Cricetulus griseus: one gene and its partner. Each later gene encodes a partner of the first gene's protein in a complex. Links are inferred from orthologs where the notes say so. Each region holds a gene or a part of one and is shown in the gene's direction. Other genes may lie near its edges. The genes, in order: Bbs4 and Bbip1.

The links.
Region 2: the proteins of Bbs4 (region 1) and Bbip1 are in contact, whole or in part, in a cryo-EM structure (PDB 6VBV), measured with the Bos taurus proteins. The link is inferred for Cricetulus griseus from reciprocal best matches to the Homo sapiens genes BBS4 and BBIP1. Residues at the interface, in NP_001069424.1 of Bos taurus: Leu210, Leu213, Tyr236, Leu240, Ala241, Ser244, Gln247, Thr248, Ser269, Pro271, Asn274, Asn275, Met278, Phe281, Gly282, Lys284, Tyr298, Leu299, Pro301, Leu302, Asp303, Trp304, Lys305, Ile306, Tyr308, Asn309, Leu312, Leu315, Thr316, Gln318; in XP_003587939.1 of Bos taurus: Met7, Phe8, Arg9, Glu10, Val11, Leu12, Pro13, Lys14, Gln15, Gly16, Gln17, Leu18, Tyr19, Val20, Glu21, Asp22, Leu28, Lys30, Pro31.

Annotation. Positions count from the first base shown.
Region 1 is NC_048597.1:170,886,708-170,890,518, reverse strand, and holds part of Bbs4 (Bardet-Biedl syndrome 4 protein), read left to right. Parts: intron 1-512; coding exon 513-624; intron 625-2,125; coding exon 2,126-2,198; intron 2,199-3,811.
Region 2 is NC_048596.1:7,612,965-7,617,338, forward strand, and holds the start of Bbip1 (BBSome-interacting protein 1), read left to right. Parts: upstream 1-1,484; 5' UTR 1,485-1,640; intron 1,641-1,754; exon of another isoform or gene 1,755-1,965; intron 1,966-4,374.

The DNA of each region.
Region 1 (3,811 bases):
TGGGAGAGTAGTATACTCTTAACAAATTGAATCACCTTCAACCTTCCAAAATAGTATTCCTATGAAGAATTTCTGTGATCTGCAAAAAGACCAGTTACCTAGTTATAGATGCTGGGGGCAGAGTGGGTAGGTGGAAGTTAGCTTATTACAGATTTTATCTTACTAACCCTTTACTTGCTTTTACCCATTTGGTAATGACTGGTTGGATTAAAAGGCTGGGCAGTGGTGGCACATGCCTTTAATCCCAGCACTCAGGAGGCAGAGGCAGGCGGATCTCTGTGAGTTCGAGGACAGCCTGGTCTCCAGAGCGAGTGCCAAGATAGGCTCCAAAGCTACACAGAGAAACCCTGTCTCGAAAAACCAAAAAAACAAAAACAAAAAAAATAAAAATAAAAGTTATCCAAAGGCTTTCTCTAATGTGTTATCTTATCTCCTCCTCCTCCAGTTTTTCTGATGCCAGCCTTTTCTTCCAAGAATATGGTTTATTTTCTGTATTTTCTTTTGCTTGGCAGCACTGATTTTCCGCCTGGAAGGAAATATCCAAGAATCCCTGGAACTCTTTCAGACATGTGCTGTTCTCAGCCCTCAGTGTGCTGATAATCTCAAGCAGGTGGCCAGATCTTTGTGAGTATTGGAGCAGTCACAGAAGACCACATAAAATCCTTACTCCTAGCTGGGTGGTAGTGGTGCTTACCTTTTATCCCAGCACTAACGAGACAGAGACAGGTGGATCTCTGTGAGTTTCAGGCCAGCCTCTTCTACAGAAATAGTTTTGGGGGGCAGGGAGCGGCACGGGTTTCTCCTGAGCCAGGCAATGGTAGCATACGCTTTAATTCTAGCACTCAGGAGACAGAGGCAGATGGATCTTTGAATTTGAAGCCAGCCTGGTCTACAGAGCAAGTTCCAGGACAGCAGGGCTACACAGAAAAACCCTGTCTTGGGGGAAAAAAAAAAAAAAGGCTGGGTGGTGATATCACAAGCTTTTAATCCTAGCACTTGGGAGGCAGAGGCAGGTGTATCTCTGTTAGTTCAAGGCCAGCCTGGTCTACTAAACTAGTTCCATGGCTACACAAAGAAACCCTGTCTTGAAAACAAAAAAGAAAGAAAGAGAAAAAATAAATGAATAAAAAGGCTTTCTCCTGAAATGCATTCTAGGGAGGGCCTGTTGCTGGCATCCAGATCCCTGATAAGTAGAAGGCTGGTGAATAGTAACTAGAGCAGACTTCAAAAAGAGCATGGATTAATCTGGAAGTCAGATAATATTAAGGAACTCAGATCTTTCTAGTTAGATGAGAACACTGTTTGTCATAGTGTGTTATACCATAATGCCTCTATAATCATATGGGCAACTCATAGCCTATTGTTCTGATATTTAGTAGAATATTTGACATATAATAAGCTTATGGTATTTTGAGTCTATGGCCTGCAAATTTCTAAGTGGAAACACTTCTGAAGTCTTCATCAACTTCTTCTGAGTGGCCTAGTGTCCATGCGGTGCTGTCTCCATGCTCTTCCCTCCATTGCCATTCATACTTGTATCATTTTTACATAAAAACTAGTTCTCTCTCTTTTTTCCTCCAAATTCATGATCAAGGAAAGAAACTTGAATTCAGGAGGAAAAGACATGCCGTTACTGGATGAGGTTGATAAATGATGGCAGTTCATGCTTAATGGCATGTCATTTGACTTTTTTTGTTTATTTTTATAGAATGTTATAGGAAGTAGTTACAGAAGAGTACCACCAACATTGGTATGTATGAGACTAAGGTCTTAGAACAACTGAGGATGCAAACCCTGTCTCCGGAGCTTCTGTTCTTGGGACATAGCACTGTCCCTTGCCTTTCCCATAAAACCAGCTCAAGTTCTTTAAAAAAAATTCAGCATTTTTTAAGACTGTGGAATATGAACTTGTAGAGTTAATCTTAAAGGAGTTTAGGTTTAGCTGGGTATGGCAGTACAAACCTGTAATCCTTGTACTTGAAGATGCTGCCATGAGGATCAGAAGTTCAAAGTCATCCTTGGTTACACAGTGAATTGGAGGCTTGCCTGAGTTACATGAGAACCTGCCTCAAAACAAACCAAAAATAATGAAATATGAATAATTGTAGGCAATATATTTTCACAGATTTCTTCTGGGAAAACATAAAGCCGCCACTGAAGTTTATAATGAAGCAGCCAAACTTAACCAGAAAGATTGGGTAAGAAATGCCATTTCTTTCTTAGCATGTTAATGGTTCCATTTATCAAGTGGCTTTTTCTTTGGAGCCAGGGTTTCATTATGTGTATAACCCTGGCTGGTCTCAGATTCATTATGTAGAGCAGGCTGGCCTCAAACTCAGACAGATCTGCCTGCCTTCTGCCTCCATAGTGACCAGCGCTTGGATAGATTCTTAGATGATCAAACTGTCTTCTTGATTTTTTTTTTCAGCATGGCATTTCTACATAACTTTGCAGGCATTGTTGTATAGCTTCCAGCTGTTAGTGTTGCTGATACTTCCTCACTGGTCTGGTTCTTGCTGTTATCCCATCTCATTTCCAAGAGCTTTAGGAGCTGAGTTGTTTTACCTTTGGAATTTGAAAGCATCAGCAGTAGATGTCTTCACTGCATTTTTTTGTATTTTCCCCCTATCTACCTGGCAATCAGTCAGCTGTTTCTTTTGCCTTTCTTTGGGTCATGATAATTTTAAGTGACTCTTTATTTTCCTTCCATCATCTTCCCTTTCTTATTAGTGTATATTAATTGTAAAAAAACAATGGTTTTCACTGTGACATTTTCATAGTTTGATCATAGTCACCTCCTGTATTTCCTTATTTCCATCATGTATTTATATAAGTTGGGGATTATGTACAATACAAAATCAGACTAAACATTCTCTTTACAAATTAATGGATCCCCCCCCCCACCCATGAAAATCCACATCACTGATTTTGGCATTCATTTGGTAGTCCTAGAATTTCAGGGCTGAGACTTACTCAAGGCTAGTTAAATGGTGACTGCTGTAGCTCAGAAGTATTAATTCTTAGATAAGGAGCTCCAAGAAGCAAGCAAGAGCAATCCCTGATAGAGCCTGTGTTTCAGCCGCAGCCTTTAAAAGGAAAGTACCATTTAAATCTTCAATTCAGCTGGCATAGGACTCCCTAGTAAAGTGTCTGTTGTACACTGATTGTCACTTCCTATCAGACACAGCAGCTCTGTGGCTTTTAACTTGCCTCTCGTTTTCTATTATTTTACTCTTTACACCCATTTTTACATCTTTGCATTTCTCAGTCTTATCTCCCAGATCACTGTTTTTGCTATTAGCTGTATATTTCTAGTAGCCTATCCTTTCTCTTAATTTCAGTAGTTGTATTCTGATTTCTAAGTAGTTTGTCTTCTCTCTCTTCCTCCCTCCCTCTCGTCTCTCCCCGTCCCTCAGTCTGTCCTTCCCTTCCTCCCTCCCTCCCTCTTATTTGTTTGTCTGTTTGAGACAGGGTCTCACTGTATAGTCCTGGCTGTCCTTGCACTTGCTCTGTAGGCCAGGCTGGCCTCAAACTCAAGAGTTCTGCCTGCTTCTGCTTCCTGAGTGCTGGGATTAAAGTTGTGCACCACCATGCCTGGCTTTTCTTTTCTGTCCCCACCCCCCTTCTCTTATAGCACCCTCTCCAAATCTTAGTCTTGAAGTTCTGTATGTTTCCCCAATTATCTTTCCCTTTCTGCTTTCCTTTTAGTTCTTTTTATACTGTTGACTGATTCTTGCAGAGACCTTCCTATCAGAGAAGTAGATTGATTATACTAGAGAGATAGCATGGTTCCCCTTAGAGTCCTTAGGAC
Region 2 (4,374 bases), on another chromosome or scaffold:
TCCTCTTTTATACAAACCACCAGAGAGAAAATCAAATGTCCAAGTGTAAAGGTGAGATGAGACGGAAAAGAGCCCAAAAGCGTCTCCTTTGCAATTCCCAGATAGTGACGTGCATTCCACCTGTTTGGACACCTCGACTTGCACAGCTCATCACACAAACCCTCTGAAAGGGAATGGGGGGGGGGGCGGGAAGGGGGAGAGGCGGGCAAATGACTGCCTGGGAGTCCTTATTCTTCTACCTAGGCATGGGGGAGGGGACGGGACAAAACAATGGATACCGAGGGGCTGGGGAAAATCGTTCTGCCCGGCAGCCTCGGGCGCTGCGAGCTGGGGGCGGGGAGTTACACTACTTTCCTCCTCCAGCCCGCGGAGCAGCACGGAGGCTGCCGTCGGGCATGTTCAACAGGGCGGTCGCGGCGGCCACAACTCCTTTCACCCGGCCACACACGCACACACACACACACACACACACACACACACACACACACACACACACACACGCACACGCACACACACGCACGCACACACCCAAGGCCATCCGCCGCTCTGCGCGCAGGGTCCGGTGGGAAGCGGACGGCGGCGCAGGGGAGACGCCCCACCCACCCGCGGCCCGCCGCGCCCCCGCCTCCGCCCGTCCCCGCGATCCCGCCGTCCCGCGATCCCGGCAGCCCACAGCCGAGCAGCCCGCAGCCGAGCAGCCCGCGCCAGCGAGCGAGCCACTGACCGTCCGCCCGGGCCCGCGCCCGAGCTCCGGCGCTGTCCCGGCCGCGCTCGTAGGCCGCCCGCTGGGGCCGCCGCTCTCTCGGCGCCCCGCCCGGGCCGGCGCGTGCGGCAGCGGCTGCGAGACCCGGCGCCCCGGGCCGTGGCGCCCCGGAAAGCGGCCGCGGCGCCTCCCCGGGCCCGGAGCCGTCAGGCCTCGCCCGGCCCCGGAGGCTCGCGCCTGTCAGGACGAGCCGGGCCTCCCCCTACCGACAGCCGGCCGGCCGTCCGCACCGCCCGGCGGGCAGCAAGGCGACAGCGCTGACCCAAGGGCGCCCTCCGCCTCTGCCGCCCCGGGCTGCCGTCTGGAGCCCGGACTCCACCATCATCCCCGCTCACCTCCTTCCTCCTCCTCCTCCTCCTCCTCCTCCTCCTCGTCCTCCGCTCCCACAGCGACGCTCGCCCCTGCCACCGCCCCCCGCCCCTCCCCCACTCGCCCCGCCCCTCCACACACTCCGGCTCCGATCGCCCCGCCCCGGCCCGCCCGAGCCAGCCTGGCATTTGCTGGGCACGGTGGATGGGCGGAGCCAGGGCAGACGCAGCCGTCCAATCAGAGAGGGACGTTGGTGCCAGCATCCCTCTCCCCCGCCCTCTTCCTCTCCTCCGCCGCTGTGCGCGGTCTGTCTCCCGCCCACTGGGCGCCGCTGGCTAGCTCCGCCACAGAGAAGGCCTCCAGCCGGCTAGAGGGGCAACGCCCCCCCCCCAGTCGGAAGTTACAGTCGAAGTCCCGGCAGCCATAATTGATACTGGCGCAGGAGGCGTTTCCGGCCTCCCGTTTGACGTACGCGCGCGCGTTTCCTGCATCCGGTCCCCGTTACCCCGGGCAACAGCGGAGCGGTCTGGGGAGGAAGGACGGAAGGCAGGCAGGCAGGAAGGACCCGGTAAGTACACCTAGGGCGGCGGGGGCGCCCTGACCGTCCACGGCAGACGGTTGCGTCGGGCTCGGGAGCTGCAGGGTGTGTCCGGGCCGCTGCCTGAGACGCCGGACCTCTTACCTGGAGGACGCACTCTAGAGCTTCAAAACTCCCTCGCGCCGGAAGTTGCGCCTGGCACTTCCTGACAGGGGCATAGCCCGGAGGTGGGCGTCGTCGCCCCGGCCTGCGCCCCGGGGATGCGGGGGTGCGGGGGTGCGGAGCCGGGGCTCTGGAGCGGCGGGGCGGGGTGAGGCGGGCGAGCCGAGCCGGGCGAGCCGCCTGCAGAGCGCCCGGAGGAGACCGGCGGGCCAGCGCCGCTTCCGCCGGCGGAGGGTGTTCTTTCCGGCCGCCGGGGCTGGGGCGGTGGCCGGCCCTCCCCCGCCCCTCGGAGGCTCCCTGTGGGGCGAGGCTGCCCGATCCGCGCCTGGGCTGGCCCGGAGGCCGCCCCGGGAGGGCGGGAAGGAGGGAGGGAGGGAGCCGGGCCCGCGCCTGCCCGGCCGGCCTGGCGAGCGGGCGAGCGCCTGACCAGCCTCCCGAGTTCCCTTCGAGTCCGGCCCTGACCTGCAGGGACCGCAGACTCCAGCACCAAAGAGAGTCCACTTCCACCCCAACTGTCACTTTCCACCTTGTCATTTTCTGTCCTGCCTCCCCTTCTGCAAGCAGCCCAGCCGTGCGTGTCTGTGGCTTAGCCAACAACTTAATGCTGGCGAATACCCTTTTAAAGAACACTTAGAATGCTCCGTGTGTCTCCTTCAAGACATTATCTCAAGCAGCTCCTTCTGTAGGCTTTTTGACTCAAGAAGTCAATTGTTCTAGTATTTACAGATTGAATACCTAAAACTAAATAAATAAATAAATAAATAAACACAACAATTTTTAGGTAAATTAAGAATTGCCGATACCTAACCTTCTCTACCTATGTCCCAGGCAAAAATGAAGTACTCTTGCCTCTTCTGAGGTTATTTAGTCTGATGTCACCTTTTTTGATTTTGTGTCCATGATTCTGTAGTGCTTGGAGATGTGTTTCCAAATTCTCTCCAACAGAAAGTGGTTTTCTCCAAGCTTATATAGCACTTCGGGCATATCTTATAATAGTCACTAATGTATCAGCTGCTCACATATTTTTAACTTCATGACTATGCTTAATGCCTGAATAGAATGGTCTGTGTGGGACTCACCTGCTCTGCACATAATAGTGCCAGGACAAAATGTTGCATCATTAGCTGTGTCCTGGACGTCTAAGACGCTCCTAGCAGTTTTACTGTTCTTCACTGTACCAGAGACTGAGCACAGTCCTTGGTTTTCAGTGTTTTCTGAGGTCTACCCTCTGAAATCTTCACAACATAAGCCCCTCCCATATGTTTTGTTGTGAAAATGTGAAGACAATACAAAGCTAAAAGAGCTAGGTGTGATGCACTCAGGAGGCTGAAGCAAGAAAATCTCAAGTTCAAAGCCACCAGGATACATAGTGAAATCCTATCTCAAAAAAGGATGGAGGGTAAGGGAGAGAAAAAGCTCAGCGGCTGTACAGTTATACACCGTTTACCTGTGTACAAGTGTTAACATTTTACTATATCCCCATGTCTTTCCTCCTCACATTCATACATTATTACTATTTAAAAATAGGCTTTAGGTCTCCTGTTAGGCACACACCCCTAAGATTTCCTACATGAATTTCCTAAGAATTTCAAAATAGAGAAACGTTAAAATACAGTATCATTACAACCAAGAAAAATAGCAATTTTGTAACATAAAATAGAGAATATACAACTCAGAATCCTGTCCAAAAGTGTTGAATTATACATGGACATTACCACTCTTTAACTTTGGAACTGTCCCCATCTTCTTCCCCTCTGTGACACTGACATTTGGAAAGGTCAACCCAGAGGTATTGTTAAAAAAGGATCCCTTCCCTTACTTCATGTGAATTAAAAGTCAGACCAGAGGCTTGATTAAGATTCTTTCTTGGGGCTAGGGAGATGGCTCATTGGCTGCTCTTTCAGAGGACCTGGGTTCAGTTCCCAGCACCCAGTTCTGTAATTCCAGTTCCGGGACCCAACACCAATGCACATAAAACAAAAATAAATAGAGAGACAAACATATAAAGAAAAAATGGTTTAAAAAATGATTCTTGTACATGACTACATTAACAGTATTCTTTTGCCAGTTGTGTTCTCAAATGCAACTGCCTGTACCCTTGCCATGTGTTATTAGCAAAGTTCATCCCATTTAGCACACGGAGGCTTTGGCATTTAATTTCCCTGTATATCGAGGATTTACTAGTACCCTGAGCTGGCAATAAAGACTGTCTCCCTTTAATAAATGTTGCTACTTTGCAATGACATCTACAGTAAATATACTGATGTCAGAATAGTTTCTTGAGTTTCAAGTCCTGGCACCCTGCAGACAGCTGTTGAAAGATGTGTAGCTCTGTAATTCAAATGCATGAATCTTGATGTTATCACAGCAGATGCCACAGCAACTGCTGTCCATCTGGCCACAATCCAATTTAGGTGATGTTATTTTCTCCCTGAAATTCTTCCGAAAGATCTAATTGGTCCTGTTGTTTCTATGATCACACTGCTTATTAAAAATTGCAAAATCAAGATTATCCTTTCCACTTGGTTCATTAAGAACATTGTCTGCCTGGTGGATAGAGAACTGTGGGATTCAGTTTAAAATCACAACAGGAAAACTCTCA